Danio rerio: one gene and its partner. The protein of the gene in region 1 interacts with the protein of each later gene in a biochemical or structural test. Links are inferred from orthologs where the notes say so. Each region holds a gene or a part of one and is shown on either strand. Other genes may lie near its edges.

Region 1 (11,462 bases):
TGTTTCCTCTGCAGCGTTTCCTTCAGCAGTTCACAGACCCCGACTCGAGAGAAGAGGAGAACGCTGGTCTGGATCTCAATGAACCGCTTTATATGCAGAAACTGGATGAGGTAAGAAGAGCAGCCCTCGTCACACTGAAGACTTGCTCGCATTATAGTGCGTCATGCAAAATCCTTAATGGCTAATATGTCTTCTATAATATAAATATTGTGTGTGTGTGTGTGTGTTTCAGATCAGTGTTGTTGGAGAGCCGGTGTTGAATGTGAACTGCACTCATATTCAGACATTTGATGCTGATCTGTACCGCCAGCTCATCTGTTATCCACAGGTGAGATCTACAACAAAAGAAGCAACTGTGTAGTAAAGAGCTAGCGTTAACCCTGAGGAGAGCGCGGCCATTTTGGTGTCGTCGTCAGTTTTTAGCAGGATCAGGAGAAACATGCTTGGGTTTTGGCATACTGATGAGGAAAACTAGCTGGTTCTAGCTGGATTTGAAAGATCTTTACCATTGTGGACGTCACTTTAAATCATTAAAAGCCCAAAATGTCCTTTTTAACTGTTTGAATTAGATCAAATTTACGGAGTGACTCCCGTACACATCTCACTCTCCAAACTGCATACTGGAAGTCCTCTAAATTGGTCAAGTGACAGTAAAGGCTTTTATAATGTTAAAAATGTGATTCTTTTGAACTTTCATTACATCAAATACTCACAGCATTAATATTTGTTTATTTAATCTGAAATGTTTCTTGAGCACCATATCATCACATCAGAATTAGTTCTGAAGCGTGATGTGACAATTCACAATTTAGCTTTACTTGAAAGATTTTCATATCAGTATGTTGATGTACTTCCAACTGAAATGCAGTATTGAGCAGGAGGCGGGGCTTTCTCTTTGCGCATCATTCCCTCACTAATGGTAAGAGGGGCGTGGTTAAGTACATAAAGCATCAAACAGACGCCACTAGAAAAGCAAATGGCCAAACTAGAGCTGCACGATTTTGGCTAAAATGAGAATCGCAATTTTTTTTTTACATTTTTATTTTATTTATTTTTTATTTTTTTGGGTTAAAACAAAGATTGATTCTCTCACGATTCTGTAGATGTAAAATAAAGGTTATTATGAGTCGGCAATTATTATTGTTTTTTCCCAAACATATGGTAAAACAACAATATTGGTATTATGTGTAGGTCTACTGGTTTCTATAAATAATTCCATTCTACTTATAATAATTCTGATGTTGAATTATGTTTGAGATATAGGCCTATGCATGCAATCATTGACAACATTATTCGACCGTTTAATTCACTGGTAAAATCAACATTATATAGGCTAGAGTAGTTATACTGACTCTTTAAACATTTATTTTCATGCACAACTGTGTGTTCGCTATAAAAGAAAAACATATCAAATGCTTGTCGCAGTCATAACTCTAAAATGTGATATGATCATTTAAATAAAGTGCACACTTTCGGTTTCATGTGCTGTTCATACTTCACACGCGGCACCCAAGCGATCACTCTGTGCCACAAACGGAATATTATTTACAATTTTATTACCCGTTACTCACAGCAAGTTCTGTTCACTAAAGGAGACGCGCAAGTAGGGCACACACCCGCACTATAGTTCACGTCACATTTGATTTCCCGGCCTTGAATACAGCATTATATGAAGACAAAAATGACATTTTTAGGTGAATTATACCTTATAAATACAGTATGTGACTCATTCAACATCATTTGGAGGTGTCCATGTTGCTGAGCAATGTATGTGAAAGAATGAAAAGACTCGTGCAGCCGCCTTTGCTTTTCCCCTGAACTTGAAAATATGATTGGCAGAATCATAGAAATGCTGGATGAAGATCGTCTAGGGCAGGGGTCACCAATCTCGGTCCTGGAGGGCTGGTGTCCCTGCAGTGTTTAGCTCCAACTTGCCTCAACACACCTGCCTGGATGTTTTAAGTATACCTAGTAAGACCTTGATTAGCTTGTTCAGGTGTGTTTGATTAGAGTTGGAGCTAAAATCTGTAGGGCACCGGCCCTCCAGGAATAAGTTTGGTGACCACTGGTCTAGGGGGTCGATTCGAGATTGCGATCTTTTTACGATTAATTGTGCAGCTCTAGGCCAGACTTTGAAGATTACTTGCACGGATTGATTGTTCACATAAAGAATAACACTCAATAGCACTAGCAAAATGAACACATTTGGATTTCACAGACTTTAAATGATAAGAAAAGATCTTTTAAAGAAGACCTTTTATGCAAAAACAGAAACAGTTGTGTGGTAACTGTGTGAATATAACCAGCTTCTAATGGTAAAAATGTGTTTTATGAGTTTAATGGGTTTTAGTTTTTATAATCAAACAATCAACAGAAACACTTTGATTGACATTCATCCTTTGTACATGTCATCAGAGGGGGGGAAGCCCCGCCCATTAGTGACCATCTCTCCCTCATTAGCATAAACAGCCCTGAGTGAGAAGCAGCCGTCTGACATTAGAGTTATCTGCTGCTATGGTGACATAGGTGTTTTTAAACTCCACCCTCTTTTGAGAAGAGTACAGTCTCATTTAAATTTAAAGCGACACTCACAAAAATGACACAATTTGGATCAAAGCCTAAACGGGCAGCTTTAAAGAGTTCTAAAACATTATTTGTGTGTATTTTGAGCTGAAACTTCACACACACATTCTAGGGACATCAGAGACTTATTTTACATCTTGCAAAATAGGGCATAATAGGTTTCCTTTAGGTTTATAATAATAAATCACATTAAAGATTGTTTTGATAATTCTCATTATTAGCGATTTGTGCTTTTAGTCAAATAAGTGTTGCAGTGCTGTGTATGCCTACAAAAACCTAAACTCTGATTTATTAAAATGTGACTTTGTCTAAAGTTTCTAACTTTTTCCATTCACAGGAAGTCATCCCCACTTTCGACATGTCTGTCAATGAGCTCTTCTTCGATCGTTTTCCAGACTCTGTGTTGGAGCATCAGATTCAAGTGCGACCCTACAGCGCTATTAAAACCAGAAACATGCGCAACCTCAATCCTGAAGGTAAGGAACCTGCTGGAAATTAGTGATTTAATGCTCTATACCTGGGTCACGGCACCAAATTGGTGAGATTTTGGAGATTTCAGTCTCTATCAGGGTCACGGCACCAAATTGGTAAGACTTTGGTGATTTTAGTCTTATCACTGGGTCACAGCACCAAATTGGTGAGGAATTTCTTGATTTCAGTCTCTATCCGGGTCACGGCACCAAATTGACCCTTTGCTAAGCTCTGCCTTCCTTAGTTACTGTTAATACGCCTGTCAAGCTTTCGTGCCTGGCACGTCTATTACAATGTGTATGCGCCAGTGTCAGACATTCCCAGGGATATAGTTAGTCCTATTTTGGCGAACAAATGAGATATCCAAGAAAGAAAGGCACAAATAGGCTGCACTATGCATTACAGGGGTATATTCGCGACATAATAGGCAACCAGTTAGAGAATAATTTAATCAAAATTGAAGCTAGCTTAGCCTAGCTTAGTTCATGCAAAGCAGGAGAGGTGAAATTTAAATATAATCTAATAATAACTTATTAAACGGGGATTTCTTTCTTTTTAGCCAAAAAGCCTGATAGGCTAATTGTTGTGCAATGACATAAAGCGTTACTAACCGACGAGGAAACACGCATGGACAGTGCTTCTACATAATTCAGATTCATAATTTGGGAACAATAACCCATGACCTATTCGCTTTTTATATGACTACTATGGTGAAGGCTTAAACAGAGCAGTTCTCATATCAAGCGAAAGAAAAAAAAGAAGACAGCTGTGAAACATAACCGACCTTGTATTTTTGTAGGAAACAATTTAGATCTGTTTAGGGTAAGTGTGAGTTATTGCCGTCAGTCTATCACTGATTGTGTCAGGAATATCAAAACAAAACCAACTTAAATCTGCTCCTTAGCGCCCCTCACAGAGCTTGATCCACTCTGGCATTTCTCCCCTTGAGTTTTTGGTTTTGAAAAGGGAAAAAATTCCACCACCCTGTCCAAACTTTCAAGAGACCAGGTGTCAGATTTACACAATCTATATTGTTACGAATTAAATTAAAAATCCTTAATCAAAAAGAGATGTAACCAAAACATAACAAAATAACAAGGAATTAAAAATATAATCTCTGGTGCCCCCGCGCTCTCTCTCCCCAAAATATATACCAAAAACACAACCACTAAGAATTATCAAGGAAGTATGATTTATTTACAGGAATAAGGAGCAAAAATAACATCAGGAGGGGTTCAGCCAAAATAAATGACAATAAACCAAGCTAACTAAATTAGATTAAACTTCCCTAGAAAACAAGTAAAATAAAATACAGAAAACTTACCTCCCTACTAACAAACACAGGAGAAAACGAAAATAACAAATAAGGCACCAAACCTCCCTACATGCTCCAAGCCCGACAGGGAGACAGAAAACCGGGCTTCAATCGCCGGTTAAAAATGAACACAACGGCATCTCACAAAACCACAAAGAGATACAAGCAAACACTCATTGGATCACGTTCTCCACTGAATACAAGCGGGGAAACCGAGAGAGAGCGGGGAGCCATCGAACCCATGTTCTCTGCGGGTTTTTATAGCCGCCGCCAATCTAAGCGCCAATCATGATCCGACCCAATGTAATCCGCTGCACCTGCGAATACTTAGAGCGAGAGAGAGAGAGAGAGCGAGAGAAAGAGAGAGCGAGAGAAACACCACACACAAGCCTACACTACTCGTAACAATATGCACAATGCTATGGCTCGTTTCCCTCACTTGAAAGCTTGACAGAGCCCCTGCACATAGCTACGGTTGCTAAGCCACGATTGGTGGGTGGCGGTTTTGGTTGTGGCTTAGCGAAGGGTCAATTGATGACAATTTAGGGATTTCAGTCTCTATCCGGGTCACGGCACCAAATTAGTGAAAATTTGGGGATTTTTGGAATTGTATTATTTAAATGTATATTTTAACAAACCGAACGCAGATCTTACAGTTTATTGATAAAGTGTACACATGTGACTCTTCTGTCTCCTGTCAGACATTGACCAGCTCATCACTATCAGCGGGATGGTGATCCGTACATCTCAGCTGATCCCGGAGATGCAGGAGGCTTTTTTCCGCTGTCAGGTTTGTGCGTTTAACACGCGTGTGGAGGTGGATCGCGGACGCATCGCTGAACCCGCCGTCTGCCGAAACTGCAACACCACACACAGCATGGCACTGGTGCACAACCGCTCCGTCTTCTCCGACAAACAAATGGTGGGCATCTCACTTCTATTCAGCTGCATTTATTTTGTGTATCATTTTACGCTCTTGAATTTTGTTTCATTTGTATAATTTTGGTATTTATGCAATTGTGCAAAACAGATGTATTGTGAAGTCGTGTGTGTGTTTGTGTGTGACAGATAAAGCTGCAGGAGTCTCCGGAGGACATGCCTGCGGGTCAAACTCCTCACACCACAGTCGTCTACGCTCACAACGACCTGGTGGACAAAGTGCAGCCCGGAGACCGAGTCAACATCACCGGTATGATTTTATTTGAAGTAGCATGGGCGTAAATCTGATTTAACAGTAGGGGGGGGGACAATATTTTTTGACAGCAATTTTTTGAAGGGGACACAAATAATACAGCCGAATTGTACTAATAAAGATGTCTCCCCGCAGTTAAAAATGGTTTCATCATTATTAATATAGCGTGGAGACTACGTCATTATGATTATTTTTAAAGTTTTTCTCAGGTTTAACGACAAAGCAAATTTTTCTTCAAAACTATTTATTGCATTGTTTGTTGTGTTGTTTACAGTCGACTGTCTGACTCCTGAAGCAGAATAAATGCAGGAAAAGACGTTTTCCATACTCATAATAACTAACTTGTTTACATTACACTTGTTAAAATGACCGATCATATTGTAAATCATTAAACCTGCGAGGTTCATCTGCTAAACAGCCACAACTACGAAAACATAAAAAAATTGTTCATCCCTAAAGAATTGTCATGATCCCTTAAATAAAGCACAACACCCTTACTTGACACTGTACATCTGACTGACCCTGCCCTGCCTGTTCCTCAGTCATTTCTTTCTCCTTTGCCTGTGATTGATAATGTGACATTAGTATTTTCATAAGCACTCATTCTTAAAGCCAAATTGCCTTAATACGTGAAGTTTTTGTACTTGGCGTTTAGCTGCACTGAAAAATTATCTTATTTCAATTTTCTCTGTCATTTTATTCATTACATGACACTGCAATGCAAGTTTATTTATGTTGTAGCACATTTAAATGGTAATTCGAAGTGCTTTACATAAAGAATGCAAAACTATCATAAAAATAATCACAAAAACAAATAACTAAAAAAGGTTAACATTTTAATTTTAAATTAATTGAGTTACTTAAAACTGAATAGAAACTGATTATAGAATAATACAGTGGGGTTAGTGTGCACAGTGTGCACAGTGTAGCACAGCGCTCATTTAGCAAATACACAGCAAAACAATATGCTAATTGTGGTCGTTAATGTTAAGTTAACATTATGCCAAGTCGTCACAAATTAAACAATGCATGGGAAATGGCTTTAGTGTTAGCAACAAGCTAACGTTAACTAGATAAGTAATAGAGGTGTGAACCTATACTGGTCTCACGGTTTGGTTCGGTTACGATTATCATGCCTTCGGTTCAATTCGATATCTCGGTGTATTGACGATGCTTTCCATATACAGTGTTATATTTTAGGGGGGAGGCTATAACAAGCTGTCTGTATAAACACACAGACACACAGCACCACACTGTCTCTCATTCAAACACATACACAAACATAGACAGGACCAAAGAAACACGCTCACACACACACACACACACACACACACACACACACACACACACACACACACACACACACACACTTAAGCCCTTGCAACAGGGAGAGCTTGCGCTGAGCGGAGCAGAAAAAAGAAAAAAAAGCACTTTTCAGACGGTCCCTTTCTGAGAGCTCCTCTCCACGCGAGCTCTCCCGGCTAAACACGTATTGCGAGGGCTTAAACAGAGCAGTGCTCGTAATGTCGAGCGAAAAAAAAGAAAGACAGCTGTGGAACATAACCAGCTTTGTCTTTTTGTAGGAAACACACTTTAGATCTTTTTAGGGTAGGAGGTTTATGAGTTAATGCCGTCTAAAGCTGAATGCGTGTCAGGAATATCGAAAACAAAACCAACTGAACCACGCTCCTTTCTGGCGCCCCCCTGGATATACAGCACCCTTAGCATTTGCCTATGGTGCCTATGCCACAGACCGGCCCTGAGTTGGCTGAGTGTTAAAAATACTCGCGCTCACCTCCCTCGTGACAGAGCGCATAGGAGATCAATGACGTGACATCAGTACATAATAACCGGTTATGATTATTACGGAACCGATACCTTATTGTCCGCGTCTGCATCGCGGTGCACCGAAGAAACAATTAATTTTGACACCCCAAATAAGTAATTTCAATCGTTAATGCAGCAGATTTATGGAGAATTACAAGCCTCGGATAGGAACGGACATGTCCCCCCTTTTCCCCCTGGGATTTACGCCCCTGTGAAGTAGGGATGCTCATTTTGGTTAATTTTGCTTACCGACAACCGCCGCTCATTAATCAAATATTACCTGTTAACTGGTCATATTAATATTAAATTAGCATTTAGTTTAAAAAAATTTGACGTCTCTGTTGTGTCTGACACATTAAATATTGCATTTTAAACACTGATTTATTTTAACATGCGAACATAACAACAGAGTATCTTCACACACCTGCAGTATTTCCAACAGCATAGAAAAACAGAATAAACTAAATTAAATGAATAAAATAAATAGGCCTGCCCTAACAATTTTTTCAATTAAATTATTAATTTAGGCGCCGTTTACACTGTTTGGTCTTGATGCCCAATTCCAATTTGTTGCCTATATCTGATTTGTTTGCCTGTCTGTTTACACGTTGTTTTAATTGTGACCCATATCCAATTCACTCGTTTACACTTGCCATACAATTTATGTTGTCGCGCATGCATAAAGCCGGGTTCTAGCATCTATGCCACACTAGCCACGATGGAAGAAATTGTCTTGTTTTTAGCTCTGCGAAGTGTAGTATAAGCAGTGAATGGTTTAGTCCAGATTTACCCCCACGTAGTAATAATGGTATGGCACTGATGTGTGTGTGTGTAGTTAAATATGTAGCCTTTGCCTGTGTGCGCACTGGTGTTAGAGAGAATAAAGTTGTTCTATGTGTATTAATAGTGACAAAAAGCAAAAGTTACAACACGAAGTTCGCCCAACTTTAAAATGATTTTGTGGTGGAGGAGGAAAAGGGCCGTCATCGCAGCTTGCGCTTATGGTTTATATGCTTTATGATGTCCTCCACCATTCAGAGGAATGTGTGGGTACGAGAGAGATCTCGGGTCTGCTGGGAGCAAATGGTGTCGACTGACCACTTCCTCCTCTGTGTTTCCTCTGATGTTGTTTACCGCGTCTGCATCTCCACACACGCTCTTCTTTCTGTCATTAAACTGCGGAGAAGCACCACATTGTCGCAAGTTTAATGATGTACAGAACGGAATGCCTCAATAAATCCGATCTGCCTGTTTACATGACAGTCGCATTGTCACATATCCGATCTAAATCTGATTTATTTCCCAATGCGAAGGAGGCCTGAAACCGATCTCTGAACATCCGAATGCATGCCTTTTTTTTTTTTTTTGTGTTTACTCAGTCGTAGAACAGATCCGATCTGCGTCACATATGAGCAAAAAATCGGAATTGGGTCACATTTAACTGGCAGTGTAAACGGGGGCTTAGGTTACAAAATGAAAACACTGACTGAATCCTTTATAAGAACCGGCATAGGCTGTTTTTTTTTTTTTTTTTTTGGTACATTTTTTTTGTATTTTTTTACACTCATGTTTTTGTCTTTCGTTTGGCAAAATGACTGAGCAACTCTTCTTTTATTGTGCTCAGGCATCTACAGAGCTGCCCCGATGCGTCTGAACCCACGGCAGAGCCAGGTGAAGTCTGTTTACAAGACCCACATTGACGCCATTCACTTCCGCAAGACTGACGAGAAGCGTCTGCATGGACTGGACGAGGACGGAGAGCAGAAACTCTTCACTAAAGAACGAGTCGCTCTGCTAAAAGAGCTAGCCGCTAAACCTGACGTCTATGAGCGCCTGTCCTCTGCTCTGGCTCCCAGCATCTACGAACACGAGGACATCAAGAAGGTCAGTATGATGGGAAACTCTAAATTGATGAAGTTGTTTTGAGTGTAATTGAATTGCTCCTCCACTTGCGAACTTGTCCCACTCCGTCTTCATGTGTTGATTGAGATTACGTCAGTCATCGAATAAAAATGCACATTTTAAAGCACTTCACGAGACCTTTACATCAAGGAATATGCTGTCAGGACACAAGTTGATGGTGTTGATGTTTTCCAGGGCATCCTGTTGCAGTTATTTGGCGGGACGCGTAAGGACTTCACTCAGACGGGCCGAGGAAACTTCCGTGCTGAAGTCAACATCCTGCTGTGTGGTGATCCGGGCACCAGTAAATCCCAGCTGCTGCAGTACGTGTACAACCTGGTTCCTCGCGGTCAGTACACGTCCGGGAAAGGATCCAGCGCCGTTGGTCTCACAGCCTACGTGATGAAGGATCCTGAAACCCGACAGCTGGTCCTGCAGACCGGAGCGCTCGTGCTCAGCGATAATGGCATCTGCTGCATCGACGAGTTCGACAAGATGAGCGACAACACCAGATCTGTGCTGCACGAGGTCATGGAGCAGCAGACGCTCTCTATTGCTAAGGTGCATAGGCTTATACGTATCTGATTACCTTAGTTTTTTAACTATATACGTTTCATCACAGTATTGACCCAAGCTGCAGTAATTTAACAAGTATAGTTACAAAAATGCTTTATTATATATACACATGTTGAGATAAAATAAATGTTTTAAACACATTAAATTGCAAAAGGATGATAAAGTAAAATAGGTAACACTTTACAATAAATTCTCTTTCATAAACCGTTAAAATAATTCGTTAAAATCAAGAATGAGAAAATGCAATATAGTTATTCATTCGTTCATTTTCTTTTTGGCTTAGTCACTTTATTAATCAGTGGTCGCCACAGCGGAATGAACCGCCAACTTATCCAGCACATGTTTTATGGAGCGGATGCCCTTCCAGCTGCAACCCATCTCTGGGACACATCCATACACACTCATTTACACACACTATACACTACAGACAATTTAGCCTACTCAATTTACCTATAGCGCATGTCTTTGGACTGTGGGGGAAACCGGAGCACCCAGAGGAAACCCGCGCAAACGCAGGGAGAACATGCAAACTCCACACAGAACTACCTACAGCACTACCTACTGCGCCACTGCGTCGCCTATTATAGTTATGTCAACGTTCGCAAAAAATACAACCAAATAAGTCTGTTTATCACATTTAATGAAGCAATTTCGACGTTAGATTTAAATAATAATAATAATAATAATTCTATACATTTATATAGCGCTTTTCTGGACACTCAAAGCGCTTTACACATTGGGGGGCGGGGTCTCCTCATCCACCACCAGTGTGGAGCATCCATCAGGATGACGTGATGGCAGCCATATTGTGCCAGACCACACACCAGCTGATTGGTGGAGAGGAGACCATGAACCCATTATGATATGAGGATGGTTAGAAGGCCATGATAGACAGAGGCCAGTGGGCAGATTTGGCCAGGATGCAATGAGAAATTGAAAAAAAGAAATAAAGAAAATGAAAGCATTTCAATAAATTAAGCATTAACTACAAATTAACATCACCTAAGATTAATAAATGTTTTTGTAGTTATCATTACATGGACTTTAATGAGTCAGAATTCATGAACAAAAGGCCTATAAATAGTCTCAGATTCAGTAAGTCTTACTTTTTGAAAATAACCTAACCAATACTAATACAACAAACTAATACAACATTTTCTTAAAAGGCACTCAAATGTTTAAACAATTAATCATGGTGTTTTGAGGTACCTGTGATATCAATATTGTGCATGTTCATTATCACAATATATCGAATTAATGAATACCGACATGTATCTGAAGGTGCATGAAGGATTGGGTTTGGAATTGCAATGCATTTGTTTGAACTGATGATTAATGCAGGATTGTGTGTGTGTTTCGTAGGCTGGGATTATTTGTCAGCTTAATGCTCGGACCTCCATCCTCGCAGCAGCCAATCCGGTGGAGTCTCAGTGGAACCCCAAAAAGACAACGATAGAGAACATTCAGCTGCCTCACACACTGCTGTCCAGGTACAAATTAAACAACCGTATTTATAGCGGATAATGTATATTAATCATCTGCTGAATATTTAAAACAATGTGTTTTGAAAAATATTAGTTAACATTAATTAGATTA
Region 2 (11,462 bases), on another chromosome or scaffold:
TTGATGACATCCGAACATGAGATGAAAAACACACACCTGTTTACTGTCAGATCTCATTCGGATCCGTGTGTTCACAGCATCATGAGCGGTCTGACGGTCTCCGTCCATTTGGTAGACTAACCGGACTGGTACGGTGTTCTCTTTCCCGAGGTACCTGGCGTCATCACGCCGAGCCCTCGTCTTTACCAAGGCGTCTCCTGGAAGCATAAAAACACGATGGCCTGTTTTTACCAAGTAAATATTCCCTTCTTAATAAATAAACGTATGAAATAATACATATTAATTAGTTTTGGTAAGATAAACTGCGCGTTGGGGTCGTTTATTTAACGCTATATACATTTCCCAATTGTTTACATGACCTGAAATGGATGCTCCATTGCTAATACTCTTAAAAAATACAATCTAATTATTTGTCATCGAGGTGAAATACATCAGAAATACACCCTTACCGTAATGAGCCAAAGACATGCTGGTATGTACCACAGAGCTCATGAAGAGGCACAGTAAGGAAATCCCCACACGGAGAGGCATCGTTCCCGCATCCATTCGATTCAGAAAAATCGCATTTAATCACATGTATCCCAATTATTTTCGATATACGCGTTAAATCCCAAGTTAGACGCGATGTTCGGTCTCCCTCATAAAGGCACACGCATCCTGGCGCGCGCTGGTTGCCATTAGTGACGCGAGCGCGAGCAGCCTCTGCATCGAGACGCGGGTTGCGCGAGCGGCGGGCGGATGACTAGTCGTTCTGGAAAACTAAATTCAGGCCCTTTTTTTCTCCGCCGAGCACAAGCCACCACCTCCTCAGCGAGACATCAATAATATCCAGCCGCCTCACTGCAGAAACGCCTCATAAATATACATGAGCGAGCTGTGCACGCGGGATGACGGGTAGTGTAGTGTGAGCTCGCTCCACCTGCTGTCACCTTCTGCGCCAAACAGAATCATCCCATAGGGAGAGGGACAGCAGTGATTTACGTTCAAATAATGTAAATTTGCATAGTATAGTACTAAATGATAAGGCATACCATAACGCATAATGGGGAAAGTCACAGAAATGTGGCTACGTTCTTATTAATAGTGATAACAGTATGCAATAATGTATATAATCATGCAACAATAACTATTTGCGCATTCATTCGAGTTTAAATTAACCAGAGAAATGAAACCAAAATAAAAAATAAACAAATAAAACAAAACATATTGTGCTGACAGGAAAATACACAATTTATTTTGCATAAAGAATGTAAAAATATAAACACAAACAGCTATGGAGTATTTTGTACACATAGGCAGGCCCGTAGCCAGCCTGGTAAAAGGGGTGCTTCTTTTTTTCTCCAAAAGTGAACTGTTTTTGCAGTTATTCATCTATTCATTCATTTTCTATGTAATTATGATATTTAAATACTCTATTTAGTGACATTTTAAGCACTACTTTTAGCTGGATTAGCTTGTTGGATGCTCAAAATTTGATGTACAAAAAATTTCCAAAATATTTATAATAAAGAAATTTTATATATATATATATATATATATATATATATATATATATATATATATATATATATATATATATATATATATATATATATATACTTTTATATGTATATACTATATATAAATATACATATATATATATATATATATATATATATATATATATATATATACACACACATATATATATATATACACACACATATATATATATATATATATATATATATATATATATATATATATATATATATATATATATATATATATATATATATATATATATATATATATATATAAACTTAATTTAGCTTGTTTTCATTTATTACATACATACCAAACTGGAATCCAATCCTAAATTGGCTAACCATCGTAACCTACTTGGGTCGCAAGTTCCATTGTTACAACAAACATCGTTGCAACAAACATTCGCAAACTGCATCGCAAATTTAAACACAGCCGTGGCTCATGATGAAAGCTGTAGATGACCTATTATTCAAAAGTGGAATTTACGTTACATCGCCAAAGCTTGTGAAAACAAAAAATATAGCAAACATTAATGCTTTTAATTTATAGTAGGATATTTATTAGGTATCTGTACTGTATGACAAGGGCCTGTTGGTTAGAACATTTCTGCAATGGTTTGCATGTGTCAAATTGTTAAAGTAGACTTTTCAAAAAAATGTAAATTAAATAAACAATATACTTGATAATAAAAATAATCATTACTATTATTATTAAACGCACCCCTGGCCAGCACATTCCGCTTTTCTCAGTCAGAGCTTGGCCGTTTGAATAAAAAACTATTAATACATAATAAAAAATAATGTAGATCTTCACGATTTTTTTCTAGCCTCTCTTGAAAATTTATGGATAACAACAACAACAACAGTTAACTTTAATACTTAACTTTTGGTGCTTTGGACCTTTTCAACAGCCAATTTTTGTTCTCTCAAGAATAAGGTGCAAGATTTGGAATAAAAGTTAAGCTACAGTTTTTCTATGTAACAACAGCATAGGTCAATAGTGAAAGCTAACATAACTTATGTCATATTCTGCATGGTCTTATAACCTTCGATGGGTTATTTCCACAGTTTATGATGGGAAATTAGTCAACATAAGACAAATGAGAAAACAGTAGCAAAAATTCTGGACCAATGGCAAATTCTGAACCTTTGTCAGTGGGGTGTAGGTGGCTGGAGGCCTGTAATAATAATTTTTGTATTACCTGTTGGAAATCAAATCTCTGTAATTACAGTTTCTTTGCCATTAACACTTAAATGCTAAGACAAAACAAACAAAACTGTAATGACCTAAATTATTTGATATTTTCTTTATGGTTAACTGCACTATATGCACTCCTATTGACGTGGAATTGTTTGCATAAAAATTCTAGTCCTTAGTGCAGAAATCATTTACTTAAGAAAAAAAGCCTAATAAATGTTGATAACAGAGGCTTAAAATCTTCATAAAGACTTTATGAACAGTTAGAATAGTGAGGAAAACTAACAAAGAACAAAACTGATCTGAAAGATCCTATTTCAACAATGTAACGGTATTTACCAACTGTGCAAGTGGCCATATTAATTTCTTTTAACAGGCATTTGAACAGTTTAATATATATTGAATAATAATTCAGTTGAAAAAAAAAACTGAAGACAGAGAGAGAGAATAAATGAAAACTTATACAGTAGTCAACACTCGAAATGCATCAGAAAAGTTGAATGGGTGTTATTCAATAGCTTTAGGACAACTTTAATGAAAGGTTTTGATCCACTTCAAATGTTGAATGCTATATACGGTTAGTAAAAAAAAAGTGCAAGTGCAAATGACTAGTGCTCTGGAAGAAAGGTGATGCTTACAAAACATTGGTGAATATTTTCTATTTAATCAAGAAAATCATTCCCAGACATATATAAAAGCTGTTATATTCTTCAATCAATATACAACCAATGTACATACTCACTGTGTGTCTCCACGTCTTTTAGCCTCATGTATATGTATATACATAAAACACACACACACACACACACACACACACACACACACACACACACACACACACACACACACACACACACACACACACACACACACACACACACACACACACACACACACACACACACACACACACACACACACACACACACACACACACACACACACACTTATTCACAAGATATTTTTCATATCTATAATCAATTTTTTTAAGGCCTCTACGGAGTGAATTTGGTTTCATCCTACTGGTGAAAGAAAGATCAGATCTATTAATATATAATTTGGCAAAGTGAATCATATTAGAACACACATACATGCGTGTTCTCCACTTGTTTTTAATCTGAAAACCCCATAAACTCTTCATCCAAACTGTCACTAGACTGAAAGAGCTTCCATAAATCCAGCAGAGAAGCTGGAGGCTTTTCACTCTTCTGCACAGACTGATCACGTGAAAAAGACCTCAATGATTCTCGTCTGTGACTGGATTCGATGTGCGAGGCTGATACTTGCTTTTGTCTTCTGGGTCTGACGCTTCGAACTTTTCTTTGCAGGGAAATAGAGGGACTGTCAGCGTCCGGTTTGGGTTCTGTGCTGGTCCAAAGAGCTGAATTTTCAACTTGATTTTCGGGCATACTTTGTGCATAAATTATTTCACTGCAGTTAGTCCTAAAGGTTTCAATTCTGGTTACTGATTCGTAGTTTCTTTCACTGAACTGCTGAGCTGGGTGCACGTCAGGATTTGTCCTGTTTTGCTGCTCTGTCCTGCATTCAAGTGTATAAGATCCATAGTTCTGTTCTCTGCTGAGAAAAGATGCACCCTCAGACTTATGTAAAGCAGATTGGGAGTGCAATTCCCATTCAAAGGATCCACGCTTGGACTGGGACTTTTCTGGAACATCTGATTGTTCACACAAGCTGTCCCTGTTGCTCCAAGGGAAATCACTCTGGCCCCTGCTACGTTTGCGAACCAGCAGAGGTTTTTCTATGGTCCGTTCTATAAGAGGCTGCTTTGGTGTAGAGCCAAAAAGCAAAGACACCTCGCTTTCCTGTTTGCAATCAGCATTCACAGATCCCACATCTTGCATTGCTGACAGCATTCCTCCAGCATTCAGAATAGGAGTTGATGTGCTGCATTTCACCCTAGACCAGAGAGACATTAATGCGATGCTGTCAAAAGCACAGTAAACAACAAACAAACAAGGGGAAAAAAAGGATTGGGTATTAATAATTTTATAAACGATTCTATTAATAACAGGGTATACAGGAATCTGAGAGTGAAATTCAATACCTTTTAAGACTCTTTCCATAGATTAAGAGCTCATCGCAACTTTTTCACATCAGGTTTCACATATTTTACAGTATAACAATGCACAAGATAATTTATTCACCCGACTACCCATAGGATAGGTTCAGAATAAAGAGACCTACTAGGGGTATAACAGATCACGGTTGATCTGTGATTCATACGAATCACAACCCACAGTTCTAAACATATGTGGCCTGCGGATAAATACATTTTTACTGGTATAACCCCCTATAATTGTAGCAATTGCAGAGAGAGAGATCTCCTCTCACATAATTCAGATCACATATATGAAAGCATTTAAGCTTTCCTGTAAAATATAAAGATGGCGGAAGTAGTTGTGATGGGTTATCCGAGATGTGGTGGGTTTCTTAGGCTATTAAAGGTGTTTTCTGTCACTACTTGTTTAGCCTGCATGATTAATTATTTAAAGTTCGGGATCTCAACACCCACACAACATAAATTATAAATGATGATGATTTGTTTATTAATCCTTCAAATCGCTGCATTCAAATCTGTGTTTGAAAAACGCAAAAATCTAAAGAGAGAAACAGGTTTTAGTCTTTTGAGTTAGTTATGAAGTTCCAAACAGTCAAATAACACAGAAGTACTGGAATAACAGTTTATAGTTTAGATAAAACCACTGATGTTTATGGTAAAGATTAAAATCACCATCATATGCATTTAACAATGCTCAAAAATGAAAGTTGTAGGCAACAACTACATTATTTTACCAGCCGTCACAAATATGCCACTGAATAAATCTTTAAAAATAACAAATCTAGCAATGAAACAAAGTTGAGTGAATAACTGAATCATTTATTAAAAACAAGATTAAAAATAAATATGGGTTGTATGAATTATAATGTTAGATTTATACATTCAGTGTCATCAGCAACAATAGTAACAGTAAATTTTTCACAGTACTGAATATTTTACAATTTATTTTTATTCCACTGATTATTTTTTTCATTTTATTTTTAAAAGAAATACAGGTTCTAAGTTCTGTTTGTTAAAACCAAGTGTCTTGCAGTACTGTTTCTGTAATAAATGAAAAGCACATTATATTAGTCTCGTCGCTTTTTTGGCTGATATAAAAAAATGGTCCAACCCGTGACAAAAAAAAAACCCCAAAAAAAAACATCCAAATGGTGAGATTTGAGATTTATAACGCCACTAATAATTACAAAATAATAATCAAACCAGTAAAAAAAAACAACAACAAGATGTGGATTTTTAGAAAACTCTTACATTTAAATGAATTAATGAAACTTTAGACTCCCGTTTAATACAACTCAGGTATTTCATCTATAAATACACTGATCTTGATTTTTTGACCCATTCTTCATGATATTTTTCCATATTTTAGAATTTTAGAAACCAGAAAAATACTAACAAAAGGAGTGACTAATTTTAAAATGTTAATTCATTTTCTTCCAGCAGGTGTCGCCTATACAACAGCATGTATAACCAAAGTAGCGATGTCAAATCTGGCAGAATTTGATCAATTTTATAAACTACACATCACCCCAACATTCACAGACTAAATTCAGGAAAAATTTAGTATACAACTATCCATTGTATAAATAAAAAAAACTACAAAATGTAAGACTTTGTTAAATAGGTAAAACTTTAAGGGCCTTCATTTTTCTCTGAATTGATTTACCAACATTTCATACTTAAAGACTCTGCGAACACCCTACATAAGCTTTAGAATGATTTATTTCTGTATATAACAAGCATAGCGCATGTCACTTTTTTGCAATGAAAATATCTTAAATATAACTCAATCAACTAATCAGTAGGTACACTGCCTTATGAATGGTTCAAATGAACTGCTATTTACTTTTTTATATAATAAATCACGTCTGCAAGTGTCATTTATTCATTTACAAATTTAAAAGTTACATAAAGTTTTGTAAACATAGCAAAGTTTCTTTGCAGATTGTTTTCATTTTCAAATAGCAACATTACACACTTTCACCTGTAGATCGGTTGTTCCGAAACAGGGATTAAAACTGCTAGTGTTGCTCTTGTTTCTTTGTGCTGTTCGCTTTTACATCACACTGTAAACTTTCTAAAAAAGTCATGTGCGATTAAACTCTCCTTACATTGGAAAGAGTTCCACGGTTTATTTTTCCCGCTGCACTTTATATTGAATAGTGAGACCCACAGACATCTCACCAAATACAAATCTAAAACAAGACTTTTTCATATACAGCCGTTGGCTAGAATTATGCATTATATGTTATACATTATAGAGAAACAACAGATAAACCAAAAATGCAGTTCGTCAATTTTCCTAACAAATAAAAAGCTCTTGTTAATAGTTCAGCATGCGTTCACTTTTCTATTTGACATGAAATGCAGATATACCGGTAGGAATGACATCCTGCCCTACTCATTATTTTCTCTCCATATTTGCCAATTACATATCCATATTACACTATATGTGATATAGCCTGGTTTTTTGGATATTTTTGCTTTCTCACTACACTCAATCCGCTCTAGAATTTGTTTCAATTGAGCTGAGACCACCTCATTCAGGCGATGTCTGACAGATTGTTTTGGAATGGATCCAAGCGCGACTGCTGGATTCACGTATGTGAAACGAACCGCACTGAAGAGGCAAATGTGCAAGGTTCCAAAACAAAAGTCTAGGTGTGTAAGCAGCACCCTCAATTTATAAGTTTAAAAGCATGATAGGAGTCGAAGACAAAAAAAAATGTATGACATGTTTGTACCTTTTGCAGGGTGTGCTAATGTTCACAAGGTCACAGGTCAGTCCTGCAGTGACTCGATCCACGACTCCATACTCGTTACTCTTAGAAAAAGCCTGATGCTGCTCACTATCCAGATGCTGGTGGTCAGAAGGTTAAACAAGTGAGCACAGATTACACACATTTTATGCAAATTTTGATTCAGCTTCAGCTATTCTATTTGATTTTCAATTAAAAGTGGCTTTCTATTTTGACACATACCGCCTTTAAGTTTTCAAATTTGACCTCGCAGCACTCACAGTACCCTCCTTTCCTCTTTTCTCTGCCTTCATGACCTCTGCGTCTCTCTTTCTTTCCTCTCGCTGCTCTTTCCCCAACAGACCTGAAGCAAAAGACAGACTCTCATTGACAGACACACACAGAAAAAAACCTTGAGGATTTCAATAGGGTATGTTACTGACTCTGCTCTACCTTTGTTCTTTTTGTTTCTTCTTTGGGTCATCCTTTCCCTGTTCCTCCATCAAAAATGGACTGCAGGGCGGAAAAGACCGAAGGTTGCACACAGGCATGTTGGACAGGGGTAGATAAATGGGACGGTAATGCCTGCAAAAATCATCGTTGTCAAAGCTGTTGAACCATTCATATGAAAGTTAAAAAGAAAACAAACAACGAAAACACACCTGCTGGAGTCTTCCACTTTCACAAATGGTCGACGAATTCGTCCAGCTGCCAACAGAAACAGATTAAATAAATGAATAAAAAGCAAAGAAAGCATGGCTTAATATATTATTATACAATTATTTAACTGAAAGTTGCAACACAATAAAAACAGATGTACTTACCATTGTGTCTGGGATATGAGTTTTTTTCTGTGTGCTGAATGCTGGCCTAAAATGTAGAGTGATAAGCTAACTTTAAATATACATAACCGATTTATAAGCAACTCTGCACAGAATCTGTTCAGTGTTTAAATTTAAGGCCCATTCACATTAAGAACAATGGTGATAACTATATCTGTGTTCACACCAGTGATACCAATGATATTGTTGCTCAATAGTATCATTACAGTCTGAACTCTGCAATTTTATATTCAGAATGATTTTTAGAACTATTTTATATACACATTATGGTTATAGTTAATATCCTTGGCGCAAAGAAGTCTTCAGTGTTAAAGAGAGGGCAGTAAACTAGCAAACAATTTAAGGGGTAGCCAAAACACAATCAGAATATAATAGTTAAATGGCCGATGTTAATGGTTGTCAAAAAAATACTCACAGCTCCTTTTGCTGCTGGACTTGCATTCAAGACTTTAGCTTTCTTCTTGTCAACATATGAAATAACATCTGTTTGAAAGTCAAGCAAGAACCATCATGAAAAACAGAAACCAAAAATCCCCCTTCTGTAACAATGCAAGGATTAATATTGATAAAGACGTTACCGTCAACATGCAGGACTTTGACCCCCCATTCAACAGCATTGGCCAAGATCCCGTTCATCTGAAAACGTTCCTAAAACAAACAGAAAACTCTTGATCAGAGGGATGATAAACTACTCAGGACTACAGTTCATTCACAAACAATTCAAAAAGGGAACTTGATAAAGATTGACTCACTTGTTCTTTAACTCTTTCCACAAGCGATTTGCCTCGGCTTACAGCTGCCTGTGAAATTCCAACACAAAACTTCAGTTCTCACACCAAAACATAAACTACCCTTAAAATAATCATTTTATTCAGCACAAGAGCATGAAATAGTTTAAAAAGTGAATGTAAAGACAATTAAAATGTAACAAAACATTAATATCACATTTTATGTAAATAATTAAATTAAATAATTTAAATAATATTATAGTGGAACAAAAAATAACATAAATGGTTTAGAACTTTTAATATTTATTTCAGATCAAAATTGGCCAACAATCAAGTCTAAACAATAAATTATTTCTATTAGTTTATTATTTTTCTAATATAACTGTTTACATAGTTTAAACTCGAGCTTTATTTACATCTTTCCATGGTTAAAACACTGATTCAGTAATTATATAAGATGTGATAGCCTATATTTCAGAGTATTTCTTTCAATAAACCTTCTATAGTTCATTCATGTTTTAATCTTGGTATAGAACTGTAAATGAATCGCTTCCACTTTCATGCTCTCTGCCCGGATGCCGACTCATGATAAGCTGATGATAAGGAAATGTTACAAGTAAAATTGTTTGTTTGTATACTTTATTGTCCCTAAGGGGGATTTCTGTGGACTCTTAAGTATTTCAGCAAAGCCCAATACAGAAAAAAATACATATGCATTCAACAGTCTGATTAACACTGGAATAAAAGTTTTTAAACCTTATAAACTTGTTTGTTTGTAAAGTTGTTTGCCAAAATTTACTAAGACATGATTAACTAGTTCTGCTACCTATTGATTATGTTAATTTCCACATGACAGAACAGTTCAATTTAGTTTTAGTTGCTTTGATGTAAACTACTTTGAAAGCAGAGTTCATATTATCTCCTGCATTCTTATCCAATCATTTATGTGGTTGTCCCAACCCTCAATTCTCTCACACACACGCATGCACGCACGCACACACACACAGTTATGTACCCCCAGAACTAACACAAAAACAGGCCCTATAGATGAGAAATGAAAACCACTTCAGTGAGTTCAATTACAGCTAATTATTATTTTGCTGTCAATAACGATAATGATGTTGTTAAGGAGGAACATGACTTAAGTGATTTGATTAAACATTACTGAAAAAACTGTTAATAAGTGTTTATTTATAATACAATTATTCCCATCCCTGGATATATTGAATAATTCATTTTTAAGAGAGACTAGAAAATGCCTTTTTCACCAAATAAATGCAAGATTAAAAGGCATAACAGATTTTATGCTATCATATTATTCAGCAATGATAATAACTGTATTAAATGAATATTAAATAATACGAACCTTTTATTCTTGCATAAGGATTTATATAAAAAACATTTTATAGACACCAAACTAGCAAAAAGATATTTCTAATTCAGGGATCCAAGACAAAACCACCATCTAGGGCTGGGCGATATGGCAAAAATGCAATCTGGGTTAATTATTTTCCATATTAAACAATAACATTTTATATTTCAATATCAATTGTTAATTTATCCTTGTTTATAAGACTACCCCAACAATGACTGAAGCCACAAATTAGACGGTTCATTAAATAGCATAACCTATTTTCGGTGGCCGATCATTTTTGGTAGCTCAAATATAAACACACTTCAAGATTCCCTTTGTTGCATAACTCTGCTGTGTGATTGGCCCTTAGATCAATATAAAGTAAAAAAGTCCAGAGCTTATTGTTATTGACATAAATTTTATTGAGATTCGACATAATATTGTTTATGGACCCAGCCCTACCACCTTCAGTACAGTAGAGCAAAAAAACAACAAGAGCATCCTAACTAACCGTATCTGTGACTCCCTGTGAGCTGCCCCTTTGGCCGTGGCTTTCCCTCCTGCTGCTGGGATGAGGAGAGCTGACCCCTGAATCTGGACTTGGTGCTGGAGAGTCAGGCAAGAGACGCTGGGCATAACGAGCCTCCGGCTTACAGGACACAAGATACTTGATCTCCTTACTGAAGAACTTTTCCACTGTCTAGAGAGCAAAACACAAGTCATTACATCTGTGTTGAAGAACACACGGTCAACATCTTGAATAAAGTTACCGAAACTCGGTAGAGCCAAACAGAATCTGCAGACATTATTTTGTTATTTCAGCAGAGAATTCTGTAAAATCATTTTGTATAACTAAAAACTTAAGATATATATATATATATATATATATATATATATATATATATATATATATATATATATATATATATATATATATATATATATATATATATATATAAATATATATATGTATATATAGATATATAGATATATATA

What was found. The genes of interacting proteins can lie anywhere in the genome.
Region 2: of the proteins of mcm4 (region 1) and dbf4, one has a biochemical effect on the other in vitro, tested with the Homo sapiens proteins (2 studies listed by BioGRID). The link is inferred for Danio rerio from reciprocal best matches to the Homo sapiens genes MCM4 and DBF4.

What each region holds. Positions count from the first base shown.
Region 1 is NC_133199.1:39,260,436-39,271,897, reverse strand, and holds part of mcm4 (DNA replication licensing factor MCM4), read left to right. Parts: intron 1-14; coding exon 15-110; intron 111-232; coding exon 233-328; intron 329-2,920; coding exon 2,921-3,059; intron 3,060-5,070; coding exon 5,071-5,291; intron 5,292-5,437; coding exon 5,438-5,558; intron 5,559-9,012; coding exon 9,013-9,272; intron 9,273-9,485; coding exon 9,486-9,851; intron 9,852-11,228; coding exon 11,229-11,356; intron 11,357-11,462. UniProt on the Homo sapiens protein: Acts as a component of the MCM2-7 complex (MCM complex) which is the replicative helicase essential for 'once per cell cycle' DNA replication initiation and elongation in eukaryotic cells.
Region 2 is NC_133191.1:47,578,068-47,589,529, reverse strand, and holds the end of dbf4 (protein DBF4 homolog A), read right to left. Parts: intron 11,167-11,462; coding exon 10,978-11,166; intron 9,185-10,977; coding exon 9,137-9,184; intron 9,033-9,136; coding exon 8,963-9,032; intron 8,868-8,962; coding exon 8,800-8,867; intron 8,413-8,799; coding exon 8,367-8,412; intron 8,251-8,366; coding exon 8,205-8,250; intron 8,128-8,204; coding exon 7,996-8,127; intron 7,907-7,995; coding exon 7,786-7,906; intron 7,665-7,785; coding exon 7,549-7,664; exon of another isoform or gene 7,406-7,548; intron 7,359-7,405; exon of another isoform or gene 6,935-7,358; intron 4,642-6,934; coding exon 3,837-4,641; 3' UTR 3,369-3,836; downstream 1-3,368. UniProt on the Homo sapiens protein: Regulatory subunit for CDC7 which activates its kinase activity thereby playing a central role in DNA replication and cell proliferation. Required for progression of S phase.